Linked DNA regions of Lytechinus pictus. The protein of the gene in region 2 interacts with the protein of the main gene of each other region in a pairwise test. Links are inferred from orthologs where the notes say so. Each region holds a gene or a part of one and is shown on either strand. Other genes may lie near its edges. The genes, in order: ATPase ASNA1 homolog and Golgi to ER traffic protein 4 homolog B-like.

Region 1 (7,888 bases), on a different chromosome or scaffold from region 2:
GGGCAAGAGTAAATGTTACCCTTTTATATTGGTCATTTCTTTTGAATGAAATATTTTGATAAATAAGTGAATTTTTTACCTGAAAAGATGCATCAAACAGAATTTTCTTCCTCTGTTTTCACTTGCAAATTGTGCAACATTTTTGTGTTTTAGGCACCAACATTATTTATATCATCAGAAAGCTCAAACTCTATACTTTCTTACAATGTCACTCTTGATATGTGGCATCTTTTAGATAGGTCAGCAGCCAGTTATTTCCATCAAGATGCAAGACGAGATTTCTGAAATTTCTGAGTAACATAAAATCCAGAGTTCTGATTGGCTGAATACTGTTTTCAAAACAAACAGGCGCGGGTAATTTGAAGAGATTACCACATGGTGAGTGTGACCTTGCAGAGGCCCAGTGTGGGGAACATTGGAATTTGCGTGGGTGTGTGGTCTATGACCAATCAGAGCGCAGTATTCTTGTTTTTGAGCTGCAAAATGTACTTGGCCTATGAAAAGCTGGCTGCTGACCCATCTAAAATACATCTTCTTATGAAAATTATATCATATTAAAGCTTAGATCTTCAGCTTTATCATGATTTAAAAATCATTTGTGCCTAAACAGAAATTAAGTGTGAAAACAACAACTTTTGTTGCATGAAAAAAAATATTTTGTTTCATGTTTTAGATCAAAAGTTTTTCCTATATTACAACATTCTTTTAAAAATCCAAACACATGACCTGAAAGAATGATTCTTCTTCTTTACAAAGATACCAAAAACATGAAATTTGGTCAATATTTAGAGCAGCAATGGCCGAATAAAAAGAGGTGTTTTGGTTCGCACCAAGCTCATTAACTATGCAAAAACCCTCTTGTCATGAATATCACTTGGATAAAGGAAGCTACTTTTTCAGGGCTTGCGGACTGACTGATAGCAACAGAAATTACTCCAAAATCACAACAAAATGAGAATATTAAATGGCAACAAAACCCTAGAAAACACGATCTCACTTCGCTAATATCATGACAATTCACACGTCGTGACTGCACTCGACATCAGCACACTCGATTGTACCCCACACTTGTACCCGTATCCGGCCGGCCGGCCGGGTTTGGCTTCACATGCACACATCGTTCAACTACACGGTCGTGTGTTGCTGCCCTCTACGTTTTGAAGATGTAACAGCACGATATCGTGGTCTTAAAATCCAAGATGGCGGATTGGCAAAAGCCGCTGACTGACGATAACGATGTCCAAAAAACCCCAAAATTATCAATGAAATATCATTTCACCGTGAAATAATGCTAATAATGTGAAAGGTGAGGATGTATGCATGCTAAATGGGTTTGTAAAAATATTTTATGCACCCGCATAGATCCGATTAGAACGGATTCTATTGTGTTGTTGGTACAGTAGCAGATACAAATTTTGACAAGTGCGAGTGCACGTGTTGTGATTTTGCTATTCAATGTGTAAACGGAATTGTCACTTTTCCGTGTGTACAAAGTCTATGGGGAAACTGAATTTCCGTTTTCTGACATGCTGAAACGGAATTTGAGATTTTCTGAAACGGAAAAGGCAATTTTTTGAAACGGAAAATCACTGTCCCTACATCCCTTATACCAACGATTTTCATTGGCGGTGGAAGCCACAAAATTTAGGGGGGACCACCAACATTTTTTGACAAACAAAAAATTTAGGGGGGATCGTCAAATTCAGGGGGGGGGGACAGGTCCCCCCCCCCCCGCTTCCGCCGCCTATGATAATTTTCATCACTAAAATAAAAATCATTAACCTTTTTAATCAATAAAAAAAAAATTAAAAAAAATCTGCCTACCCTCCCCTTTAGTTTTCTGCCTACCCTCCCCTTTAGTTTTACCATTTTAATCACTAAAATAAAAATGAATTAGAAAACAAATAAACAAACAAGAAGCCCCGCCGAGCCCTTTTATCATTCCATGCAATCACAACATATAAATGAAAATTAAGATAAAAAGCAACAAAGAATAAAGCAATGCTATTATTGAATTCAATCTCTATAAGAATGAGATTTTTTTTAAATACGGAATTACATGTAACAAGCCATGTTTCTCCCCTTTTATCATTAATCACTAAGATAAGAATAAAAATTATTATAAATAAAAAAGAGCCCCCCCCCCCCTTATCATTTCAATCACTATGAATAATTTATTCAATAAGAAATGAAATAAAAACAAATAACAATGAAGCCCCCCTTATAATTTGAATCACTAAGATCATAATTTAAATAAAAGCAAACAATTAATAATAAGCTCATCCACTCCTTTAAGGCTTTATTGATCATCTACATTGAGACCACTACATGTAAGTCATCAAAAACCTTTACCCGTCCGAGCACTGGCATGATTACGGTAATGCCTTGCGTCGATTTGCATGTAAAATAGTTTAGGTGCCTAGTCTTTCTCTTGTCGTGTCTTTGATATTATGAATATAAATCGCGCACCCTCTTTAGGCCAAAAATTGATTTCGTCGCTGACCGAAGCCGAAGAGGGCATCTCCGTGAAATCTTCACTGAAGATCAAGATAAAATACATTTTTTTTTAACTAAACGAACTTCAAAGAGAAGTCACCAAAGGAGTAAATGGTTCGGTAAGTGTCAGCATAGGCCATAGCACAAAAAAAATGTGAAATCCTAACTTGAGTGTTTCATTATATTTTATTTGGGCAAAAGCCCATGATATTCGCATGTGTCGCGTGCATATGATATTCCTTCGCACGCGAGAAGCGAGATGAAAAGAACCCATGGCCATGCCATGGGTGGGCTAGCGCAGACCTACCATTCATTTCCGAGCGAGCAGCGGCCGTGGACCGTCGGCTGCACGGGCCGGGGTGGCTGGCCGGTTGTGCTCTGTCATGGGGAGCGCTGCCTGGCTTAGCTGGTAAATTGATTAATTCATGACGAAAATTCGAGTCATTAATACTTGAAATAATCTTGGAAAATACATCACCTGCATGTTGTTTTGCCAACACCTCCTTTTCCACCAACAAAGACCCACTTCAGTGATTTTTGGTCAATTATATTTCGGATAGAAGGTTCCATTGTTTCGAGATCTTCATCTGGCATGGAAGTGGCCATGTTGATAATGTTGACCAACGAACGTAGAGGGCAGCAACACTTTGCAGTATTGCTTTTAGGAAGGTCCACTCCGCTCAGATTTTGTGACCATTTTCTCCCAGAGCACTTTTTTGGAAGATTGTAGAGTTGATTTTTTTTCGTTTGTTCAATTTTACTATTTATTATTGATAATAAAACCTCCAAGAAAATATGTTAAATAATATATTTTTAGCATATTTGTATTTTTTAAAAATTGTAAAACAAAAGGTAATCATAATTCTTGTAGTTTACATGGCAATAAAAATACATAGACTGATGACATTTGTGTTACCGTTCTTCTGCTTAATTTCGCTGCCCCTACCAAATCTACACAAGCTAACGCCAGAGCCAAGACCGTGATGTCTGGCCGCGCCGAAACTTCCCCGGTCACCTGTACCTCGGTGCGCGTACTGCGCTGCGTGAATGATAATGCTGACTGCACTGCACTGGCATGATAATCTCGACGCGACTCGACTTAGCTAGATATGGACTTGAAAGATATAGACTTGGTCTGTCATTGATGTGGCACTATGGCGGATGAGCAACGATAAATATTCAAGGCTGGAATTTTAATTTTCACTTAGAGTGTAGATTGTAGTCTGAAAATCTAAAATAATTATGCTATATCCACAAATCCAACCCACATTTTGCAATCCATCAGGCAAGATCGAATACGACCACTAAACAGCAAAGCCAAGTCCCAGACCCAGTCTAACGTTAGACATAATATTAGACAGCAATTATCTGGTTCATTATCGAGCTATGTATATTCCGACGGGTCTTGACTTGAGACGAACTATCAAGGGGCGAAGGTCTATGTCACATCTACTTTTTTCATTTCATAATTTTACAAAAAATTGTGTTAGCATATGCATGCAGCCCACCGTACCCTACCTATGCACCGACCGGCCTGGGGCGCCGGCGCGGTCATGCCAGCCATGGCGCTTGTATAAGAGGCGGTACTGGATTGTGTAGGCGCATTATGGTGCAGCGAAATTTAGATGAAGACGTTTCAACCTCACGTATACTTGTTATTATATTGATATGCAAAGTCATAAAACTGTTGTCACCACCATGTAATATTTTATGAAAAATACAGGAACAAGTATTTCATATTTTTAAGCATGATATTTAATGTAAAAACATTTCAAGCAAAAATAATGATAAAGAGGAAATGAAAATAAATCAACTCTACAATCTACTAAAAAAGTGCTCTGAGAGGTTTTCGGTGGTCACAAAATGACTTGGCTAAATCCGGGTGAAATTAGCAGACTGGTTTATTTATGACAGAACTTAATCCTGTTTTACTGAAGATGTACAAAAAAATTGTGACAATAATTTAGTGATATATTATTTTAAGAATTTGGTACATTATTATTTAATTTTTTATATATTTTTTGTTTTCATTGTTTCAATCTACTATTGTCATAATCTATTAGTTTACCTATATTTTGCTGTCACTCCGTGAGTGTATTGCATCGGATCATGGTTTCGTTGGCATGACTACCAAATTGCTCGCGCACTTCATTTGTATGCGCGTATCGAGTGGACCTTCCTAATAGCAACACGCTTGTGTGTTGCTGCCCTCTACGTTCGTTGATGTTGACGTTGTTATTTATACTGCATATGCAATGCTGTACTGTATGGTCGACTTGATTGTCGTTGTTGCTGTTTAATAATTCTCGGGGATCGAGGGGGGCGGGGGTCGAGGAGTCTGATCAGAATATCAACGAAATAATTGACCTATATTTTTGACATATAGAATATGTATATATATCAACTATATTTAAGAAAAAAGATTTGATGTAAAGAGAAAAGAATCTATTTACTTTAAAAAAAAAGTTGTCCATTGTTTGTACAATATGGAAAAGCTTCTTTTTTAAATATCACTTTATAACGGTGCACGTATACCGGTATACTCGTCACAATTAGCACTTCTTACAGAGTTGCTCTACCTCCATTGTGTTGTTAAATTTTTTAAATTGTATTAATGCTTTATCTTTAGAAATAAATGTTGAATTGAATTGAAAAAAGTTTGAACTTTTTGAAGGATCGAAATTCCATACCGCGCGCTCTATCGCGCTATACTGGAATTGAAACCGATTACCCCCCCCCCCCCCTGCTCTGAAATACATCAACATGAGAGATGTGAAATTTTGAAGTTTTTTAATGGATATGTCATTTGTGAGTAACTTCCCCGTATTTCATAAATCCTTTATTCGATGATACAAATATTTTTCTTAAGCCAGAAAGTGCATGAAATGGCGTGCCCTGATATAGGCGCCTATATCCAATGCAATTTTTTTTTTAGGAATAGCTATATAGGCATTATATACCTCAGAATATAAAAAGTGGATCGATCGAGGGGCCGTTGTGTCGTTTAAAGGTCAAGTCCACCCAGAAAATGTTGATTTGAATAAATTATAGAGAAAAATAAAATTTGCATAACGCAGAAAATCGGATGTAAAATAAGTTATTTTTAAGTCCTATTTTTAACGAAACAGTGATAATGCACAATTCAGTGACATTCAAATGAGACAGTCGATGATGTCCTTCACCCAATATTTCTTTTTTTTATTGTTTGAATTATATACAATAAATTTCATTTGTTAAATATTTGACAACCATGACTGAACCATATATAATTCCACAAGTTCAGGGAGGATGTTGTTTCACTTGACAATTAATGCAGGAGAAAATTAGACAATTTCATAATAAAATACAAAAGAAATTGTTAGTGATTTATGACATCATCAGTCTCCTCATTTACGATATGTGCAAATGTTTTGTGAAATTAAGCAAAACTAAATAATGTCATAATTTTTTTATTATTTTACAACCGATTCATTAAAGTTTCCGTGCTATATGCTTGTTGGATTTGTCTCTTAATTTTTATTCAAATCAACTTTTTGTTGGGGTACGTGGATTTGTCCTTTGAAAATAAAGATTTTTCTCAGTTATTTTTGCCAGTATGTGGATTTTCATCAGACCTTTAATTAGGCCTACCAATATTTTACTCTTAAAACTACTGGCGGATACAGGGGGGGGGGGGGGGCACAGCCGGCCCGACGCACCCCCGGCCCCTTGAGAGGCACAATTAAAATTTGTAATGTAAAAATGCCGTTAAAACAGAAGTGTGCCCCCTTTCGAAAGTGAAGACCTTTTTTTTTTTTTTGCTTGTCAAATTTTTCCTCGGAGAAAATGTGCCACCCTTTAAAAAAATCCTGGATCCGCCCCTGATTAAAACCAACTTACGGGTACTTCCCCTAAAGTTTCAGACATATAGGCCTATATATATAGTTATTATTGTTTCAAGCTTGCTATGTTCCGTATACAATGACCTCATGCATGTACTCGATCAAGTTGAAAATATGGAGGAAAGAAATGAAAATATATTATACCGGTCAATAATTGGTTACAACATATTAAAATCGTATATATTTCGATCATTGAAGATGACTTGAACTACAGGGTCCTGCATGGAAATGATTTTTTTTTCAGTGGGCTGGTGCTGACTTGGGCTGAAATCTCTCCTCAAAGGTGGGGGGCACAATTGAGTTATCCATTGTTCTTTTATATACACACACATGCAAGGCCACCCCTACACACACACACATATATATATATTATATATACATATATATATGAATATAAATATGAATAAAATATACATGACAGACAGTTCTTAATCTTATTATAAAAGAACATATAGTGCGAGCGCGAAGCGCGAGCTAAAAAGTTTGGTAATTTCATGTACTTTGTCCTGAAAATTGAACACTTTGAGCAATATAAATATGTTTGTGATCCTAAATATGCAACAAATAATTACTGCGGGTGCGATCAGCGCGAGCAGAAATTTTAATAGGCCTATACGTTCTGGCCTGATCGAAAAGGGACATGTTTTAAGGACCGTTTGCAGTTACCCTTGGAGACGATACATATTTCAACAATCAAATAATTCGAGCGCGAGCTGATATTTGTGACATTCCGACCTAAAATCTGGACATTCTAAGCACTTAAAAAAATCATAAACAGGATAGGTATATAGCTATGCAATTGATGCAAGCGCAAGCGGAAACAAAATTGAGATTTCAGACCTAAAAAAGGGACTTCCTAATCATGTAACTATATAGTACAAAATTGATGCGAGCTAAATGCATTTTTGTTATGAAAATATGCGAGCGCGAATCGCGAGCTGAAAACATTTTAAATTCCGATCTGAAAAGGGGTGAATTTGAGCACTATTTCAAGCAATAGCTGTGTGGAAAAATTCTAAAGTGGGGGGGGGGGGGAGGGGAGGAGGGGGGGGGGGGTCCTACAAAAATTCGTTCATTTTCATTACTTTTCTGTTATTTATCATACCTACCAGATTTCCAGGGGATGCTGCCTGTGGAAAATAACACACGCAGCGCAGCACCCCCAACGAAAATTTTGGGGGTGATTCATTATACCCTCACCTCCGCCTCCCAGGGCCATGTTGAACTATTAGGAAATCTTGAGTAAAATTAAAAGACTTATTGTTTGGTGGAAGCAAAGAGATCTTACGATCATGGTGAATTTTTTTTTGAGAATTTATGAATTTTCAAAATTGAATTATGTTTCTTTTCTGATGACAGTCCCCCAAAAAGACATTTTTACGGAAAAAGAAAAAAAAATCTTTCATTTTATTTAGGGAGGAAGAGATGGAATAAAACGCACGGTTCTATAATCAAGATTATTCTGTTGGAGGACCGAGAGCTCCAACTTTGAGGTCTTTTCAAGACTTAAA
Region 2 (8,024 bases):
GGGATTTCTATTCAAGTGGTAATTGCAATGTTTATATTAAAATACTTCTTTTATTCCTCTTTGAAGGTGTTACATTATGTTCCCAATTCTGCTCATTTGGAGACGTTATAAAAGAGGTATTTGACATTGAAATCAGTTATAGTCATGTATTGATTTGCCTTTGTTTTATTTCCATTTACACAGTAAAAACAAAAATAAATGCATCCATTCACTCATAAAAAATAAATATGAACATGAAAATATATGCGACAGTAACATGATATATCACTAGATATGGGGAAAATCACTCACTCACTGGCAGGAATGTCAGAAGGTTGAGGAAATTGAAATTGGAAAAAGATAGGCGGATGAATTAGGGATCGGGTACATAGGATAGAAAGGGGGTGGTAATAACCAGAGGAATGTGTAAGCCCCTGCTTACACATTCCTCTGGTTATATGGATATAATTCCTGAAACTTAGACATAGCTAGGCCTTTTCCAGTGGGGGGGGGGGATGTGGAGGACCTTGATTACCGACAGATATCAGCAACGATTACTGACGACCGACGACCAAAACTCATTTATATCCAACCAAGGATTTTCAAGTGGGACATTTTTGTTTACAAAAATTTTCACAAGCCCCACCCCCAAAAAAGTCTTTACTTTCACTGACACGTGCCTAACAATTTACACTAAAATAATATTAAAATAATAATTGCGAGCGCGAAGCGCGAGCTGATTTTTTTTTTGAAAATCTAAACCTAAAACGATAAATTTTGTGCACTTAATTATAAATAGGATGGGTATCTTCCTTAATAAATTATGCGAGCGCAAAGCTCGAGCTAAAAATTTTGATATTTCTAACAGGACCCTATATAGACATTCTAAGCAGTTTTACAGGATGGATATCTAAACGGTCGTGCGGGCGCGAAGCGCGAGCTGAAAATTTGAGATATTCCCCCCTGAAAACTTGACATTCTAAGCACCTTTTTTTTCTAACTATGAACAACATGGTAGTTAAAAACAATTAATTGGTGTGAGCGCGAAGCGCGAGCTGAAAATTTTTGATATTTCGGACTGAAAACTTTACATCCCTTCATTTAATTATGAACAAGATGGAATTTTATGCGAGTGCGAAGCTCGAGCTGAAATTTTTGATATTCTAAGCAATATCTGTAACCGTGAACAAATTGGTTTCTATGATATATTGTTGATATTTTTTTATATTTTGACCTGAAAACCGGACATTCTAAGCACTTAATTTAACTATGAAGAGGATGGTTATACCTAAACAGTTACATGAGAGCACGAAGCGCGAGCTGAAATATTTAAAATTCCGGCCTAAGAACTGGATATTATAAGCACTTTTTGTAACTGTGAACAAATTGCTTTCTAACTAATCAATTGACGCGAGCACGAAGTGCGAGCTGAAAATGTTTGATATTTCAACCTGAAAACTAGACATTTATCTAAGGTATCCAACTAAAAAATTGATACGAGCGCGTAGCGCGAGCGAATTTTTTATTGTTATAATTATATTACCTAAAAGTTGTTATCTACATTTTTCCTGTCCCTGGTCAGCCCAGTCCGTCCTCACTATCGGTACAGAGAGCTCTAAAAGTCGCATTGCGTAAAAATCACAATTTACCGATAAAAGTGTACAGTTTAATTGACATTTACCGACAAAGATGGTGGAAGTAAAAAACCGAATCAGTTGGAACAGCCCCGTGTGCCCGACAATTATCATTTTTTCCGACAGTCTGCAGTCGAGTTTTTGTTTTCCCTTTCTCTTAAACTCTTTCTTCTTTTGCCCCTTCCCCTTTTTTTCTTTCTCTCCTTTTTCCTTCTTTTCTTTCCCTTTTTTCGCTTCCTTTTTTTTGCTTGTGACTCGTCAGGGGGGGGGGGGCAGTCTACCCCCTCTGCCCCCCCTTAGGTACGCTAGTGACTAGTACTACTAGTATTGTTCGATCTCTGTGAATGATTTTTTTTTTTTCTTTTTTTTTCGGGGTGGGGGTACGTGGGCCAGACATAATGGCGTTCAAGAGCAAAATTAATTTTTTTTCAAATCAGTGAGTGAGCAAAGCAAGTGAGCATAAATTTAGATTCTTTGAATAAAAAGTATGATTTTGTGTTATAGATTATGACATGATTAAAATCATATTTTACACTCCCCCGATTTTTAATTTTTTTTCTCCGGCCGTGAAACTTTTTTTGAGGTTTAGCTAGCTAGGGTCCCGGCCCGAGGCGCCGATCCTGGGGGGGGGGGGCACTAATGAAAATATTGGGGTGACAAGCTAGCATATCGTTTTGCCCTAATAATTCCGTAAGTGCAAAAATAAAATTAAATTGTAATGTTAACACAGAAATCAGCAACATTAACCGAGCACAATATAAAATTTAGATTTATTACATCTATAGATCTAGTACAGTACAAAATCATGAGTCTGCGCGGGAAATGATTCCATCTATCATTGCAAGTTTTGTTAAGGTATAAGCCCTACATTTACGCAGGAATCTCATCATATAGGCCTAGAATACTTTTCTGCACTAGCGTACCTACGGGGGGGGCAGAGGGGGCAGACTGCCCCCTGACGAGTCACAACCCATGCAAGGGACATATCCCTGCCTCCCCTGACGAGTCTTGAAGACCTTTTTTTTTTTTTGCTTGTCAAATTTTTTTCTGGTACGAAATCCTTTATTTGTGGTTGAAGACCCTTTTTTTTTTTTTTTTTTTTATTTGCCCCCCCCCTGTGGAAAAAAAATAATGGCAAGCCCCTCTTTTCATAGGTTCATATGTAGATCAAGGTGAGTTATGTATCTCTCTAAATTAATTCTAACAAACTACTTTTAAAAAAACTTTACCTTGACAGTTGATAAAAAATTTCGGCTCGAGATTTGCGCTCGCATCAATAAAGTCCTTAAAATTTCCAGTTTTCAGGCCTTAATATCAACAAATTTCACGCTCTCATTAGGCTTATAAAAAATGATTGGATTAGATCAAAATAACACTAATCATATCAGCTCGCGCCTCGTGCTCATACCATTAATTCATTGGGATCCATTTCCACTTCACAATTTCCCTACATCACACGTGCTTGAAATATTGCATAAATTGACCCTTCTTCAGATCCAGATCAGAATAATTATAATTTTTTTCAGCTAGCGCTTCGCGCTCGCATTAATGACTTTCATGATAAAAGAAATGTATTTAGAATGCCCAGAATCCAGGTATTAATGTAGGAAGATACCAAATTACCCACCCTTTTCATGATTTCCAAAACATTATTGGAGTGTCCCATGTTTAGGTCTAACTGTCAATTTCCCCCCGCTAAGTTGCGCTTCGTGATTGCATCAATTATTTAGTTATATAGCTATCTTGTTCATGATTTTTAAAAAAATGCCAAGAATTTCCAGTTTTTAGGTCGGAATGACAAAAATTTTCTGCTCGCGCTCGCATTATTTGATTGTTGAATCATGTTTTATCTTCATGGGTCCAGAAACGTGTGTGTGTGTGTGTGAGTTTTATTGTTTTGTGCGATCAAGCGCCTTTATTAATTTTGTAATGTTGATTTATGACTCATGATTTTGCCCCCCGCCATCTGAAAAATGGATTGAGGCCCCTGCCCCCGGCCAAGCCTCTACGCAAGTGGGAAGCCCGGGTGGGAAGGGGGTGTATAGCAGTTGAGACCAAATAGTGTATAATGTTTATTTCTACTTTATTTCTGTTTATTTCTACAACAAGTCTATAGGTACTGCATAAGGACTAGGTGAATAATTAATGTGAGCTCGAAGCGCGACCTGATTTTTTTTTAATTGACGTAATTATAATTTGCCATTTTGGGGATTCTTATCAGTTTTAATTGTTATTTCCCTTGTCTACCCTCTTAGATAGATTCATTAGCGACCATCCGATTTCCTATATTGTATTACTGAACATTTTTTTACTAAGTGCCCATTCTTAGCTCCTTATTTTTATGATTAAAGCCAACTTCTGCAGTATGTCCCTTTAAGTCCCATATATGCCCCTATCTACATTGATAAATAATAATACTTATTAATTATATGGCGCTTTTCCCATAAGGCCAAAATGGCCAAAATTGCTTACAATGGAAATACTTGAAATAAACCATGAAGCTATTATAGCGCCGTGAATAAATTATATAATGCTAAAAAAAACTATATATGAAACTACAAACTACGAGAGAGAAACGCCCCTAATTTTCTTTTCTTGTTTGTTACAGGGCAATTCAATTAAGCACACGTATACTATTTTTTAATTCTACATGGGCAGTATACGTGGAACCGGGGGTCAGGGGGCATGGGCACTTGCCCCTAAAAATCCCATATGCAGGGATTTTTTTTAAAAGTGAATGTGCCTATTGCGAAATAAATCTTTTTAAATCATTTTCGTTCCTGAAGTTGTTATGAAATACCGGTATTTCCTTCTTTTTACATCGTGTACATTGGGCCTATTAAGTGTCCGTTTAGTGTCCGCCCTATACTCCCAAACGAAATACGTTCCGCTCTGCCCATATCCCACATGCTCCTACATTACAACAAAATAATATGCTGACTCATTTAGAGTGGGGCATGATTTTTTTTTTTTTTAAGATAGTGCCCCGATAGTACCCGTTTCAAAAGGGGAAGTGTCCCGAAGTGTCCCCATTTCCCCCAAAGTCCTCCCAGCCCTCCCACTTTCAACATCGCCTTTCCGCCCCAGGCCCAGTATGGTGAGCGTTTCAGGAGCAAGCCTTGGGAAATTCCCTAAAACCGTAAACTGAATAACCAGTCGTAAATATGCGTAGATCTATATACTGCATCATGTAAATACTGAGTCGATATTTCTTCAGCTAAATATACGGCCTGTCATCAAGTCTATATGGCTTACGCGTTACGCCTATGGTCTAATACGTGGTGCATTTTTGGAAGGGTCTCGAAATTCCACCGGATGTCTTCTTCGATTATTTCAAGAATTTTTAAAGACTGTGAGAGAACATTTCATATTTTTACCTGGTCCCGCGGAGTCAACAACGTGTTGTAAATGTGAGTTCAGTCTGGTTTTGCTCAAACTCAGCTTAGGATCTTCAAACTAAAGTAAAAAATACAATCGTGTTCGTCATGTTCGTGTGCAATTTTTTGTGCACACAATTAAGCTGGGAATATCACAATACCGTGATACAAGTATTCAGATAGCACACGAGCAAAATGACCACTGACTAACGTGCTGTATTTTATTCGGGTTGGGAACTTAGTTCCTGTGCAATGCAATTCAAACCATCATATCAAAGAGGGGGGGTTTGAGCCTGCACCGCCATGACCGCACGCTGCCTGCGGTGTGCCTGAGGCGCTGAGCTACGCTGCGCTGCAGCAATAAAATTATTTTTTAAAAACAATTTAAAAAACGTGGATGTGGAAGTGCCTGGCCTGGAACTGGTTGCATGAGTCCACCACATATCGACCACCTCTTTTGAAACCAACCACCCTGCACACATTAAGATTATTACAAACAACACGCTTGGGATGGTAGGCGAATATTGATTTCATAAATAAATATTAAAAATGTTTAAATAGTCTAAAAACTGACATACTTCAGTCTACTGAAGCTTTTTGACATGCACTCATGGGCCTGGGAGTAAAATCGCATGAATGACCAGAACGCTAGAGCAAAACAATATATAACTTTAATATAAGAAAACCGAAAGAGCAATGGACGCTAAAAAAAAGCCTTAACAACTTGTTCATTGAATGAGTGAGCTGTGTCTGTGACTTGGCTGTCATTAGCTCGTCGTTCAGCGTCCACTGTCTCTTCGGAAGTTCGGTTCTATTATCAAACTACAATGAATGATACTATAAAATACCAACAGAATTATTATATTGTTTCATCTAGTTTTTTATGAAATTTGCTCAAATAATGGTGAAAGTATTCAAAATTGTTAAAGGGGAATGAAACCCTTGGAATAAGTGGGCTTGTGTGGAAAGAGAAAAATCAAAGAAAGTTTGAGAAAAATCGGACAAATAATAAGAAAGTTATGAGCATTTGAATATTGCGATCACTAATGCTACGGAGATCCTCCTATTGGCAATGCGACAGATATGTGTGATGTCACATGTGAAAAACTTTCCCTTTGATGGACTATAAAAATACCCCAAAAATGTATCTTTTTGCTCTTATGGTGATACAAACCCTTCATCCATAATATATTCTTTGAAAATCTGTATTACAAGCCCCATAGAAAGAATTAATGATCTACTGATAGATGTCATAAAATAGGCATTTTAAGTGAAATATATACAAAAGCAGTGGGAAAGTTGTTCACATGTGATATCACACATCTTTGTCGCATTGCCAATGGGAGGATATACATTACAATAATGATCTAAACTTCAAATGCTCATAACTTTCTTATTATTCATTCAATTATTCTCAAACGTTTGTTGATCTGTTTCTTTGATTTTTCTGTTTTCACACAAGCTATCTTGTTCCAAAGGTTTCATTTTCCTTGAAGATTATGATATGTGCTTAGTTTCACTCCAGCTGACGAAGTAGCAAAGTACAAGAACACAAACCTTTTTTTGTCTTGATTCTGTTGATTTCAATTTCGGTCTCATAATCTCATTCTTAACACCAGAAGCCAGCATATGCTGACCTGTCAGGATTTTCCTGCTTCTTAACTTTCGAAATGTTAAAAAAATCATATATGAAAACAAGAATGTCAGAAAAATCTCCTTGGACCATTCATGCCTCCAAGTCCTCAATATACTGTATCTTAACTCTTCATGCATTCCGTTTGCATTATTGCACGTCTGTAGGCGTGTTATATATTTCGCATTTCTGCACAACCGCGCATTCCCCTAATGATGCCTCTATGTCCAGGTAAATTGTAGTTTTCAGAGTTTTGTTCTGTTTTATATACATTTGCTTTCAAAACCACTTAGTGGGAGATTAATCAGATTATCTACCTTCTTTACATGTTAAATAAATCAATATATCCTTCAGCTGACCCAGGAAGTTCATTGAAAAAAGGAGAGAAAAGAATCAATTATATCCTCCTCACAAACAATACCAAGGTCAGGTTCATTGTTATTAGGAGTTAGGACTAGATCATGACACCTGTATGAAAGAGGTGCTTTTTTTTCTTTGACTAGTCGAAGATCTACTCTCTTTTATTTATTCACAGTAGTATGGTCTACTTTTGTCAGATTACCAATGATATTAGAATCATGTCTGTGATAGACTGCCCAGGTGAATACAAAAATAGAATCACGCCACTGACCCAAGAACCAAAATAAAGGGCTACACTTTTGTTGAAAATGTAAGAAGAAAATGTTTTTAAAAAATTATTTGCAATGCTTTATTTCTTTCGTAATGCAATAAATTCATACATGACAAGAAAACCCACCAAACACTACAAGTTTGCCTCACAACATTTCCTTTCTAAATGTTCAGATAAAAGTTATAGCTGTTTAACTAACAGAGTATTATACCAGGTAGAACGGTTCACTGCTAAAATAATGCAACATATAGAGGGTTTACAGGTCAATGCACGATGAGTTTAATAGCTCCGTAGTTTAAGGGTTGAAGTTATTAAAATACAGTGCGTATAAAAAAAAACGGGACAGTTTTGAAAAGTCTATAAAAATTTTGTTTAAAATCATATCTATATTTTGATGTTAATAGATGCTCTGATATCTTATCTTTGAAATGCAATTAAAAAAAATATATTTTGTTTATGCTTGAGCGAACATGGGACGTTTTTGTCGGGGGTTCAAAAAAGAGGCTTGCGCCAAAATCGCAGGAATGAGAAATTTGATGATTAGACTTTTGGCCAATAAGCAGACCTCCTCTTAATCTTTTCATTATCTTTGCCATAATTTTCAAATTATGCTGTCAAATTTCATTTACAAATTTCTTTATTTACCTTAATTTTTTTTTCATTCAAACTTCTTTTACCTTTGAATTTTTCTTAATAAGTAAGAAAAGAAGACTTTTTGTCAACCCAAGTAAGAAGATTTGCATTATTAATTGGGAGAATTCGCAATTATT

The links.
Region 1: the proteins of Golgi to ER traffic protein 4 homolog B-like (region 2) and ATPase ASNA1 homolog interact in a two-hybrid assay, tested with the Caenorhabditis elegans proteins (2 studies listed by BioGRID). The link is inferred for Lytechinus pictus from reciprocal best matches to the Caenorhabditis elegans genes cee-1 and asna-1.

What each region holds. Positions count from the first base shown.
Region 1 is NC_087255.1:4,858,843-4,866,730, forward strand, and holds the start of ATPase ASNA1 homolog, read right to left. Parts: upstream 3,103-7,888; coding exon 2,975-3,102; intron 1-2,974. UniProt on the Caenorhabditis elegans protein: ATPase required for the post-translational delivery of tail-anchored (TA) proteins to the endoplasmic reticulum. Recognizes and selectively binds the transmembrane domain of TA proteins in the cytosol.
Region 2 is NC_087254.1:10,474,966-10,482,989, reverse strand, and holds the start of Golgi to ER traffic protein 4 homolog B-like, read left to right. Parts: upstream 1-4,855; 5' UTR 4,856-5,023; intron 5,024-8,024.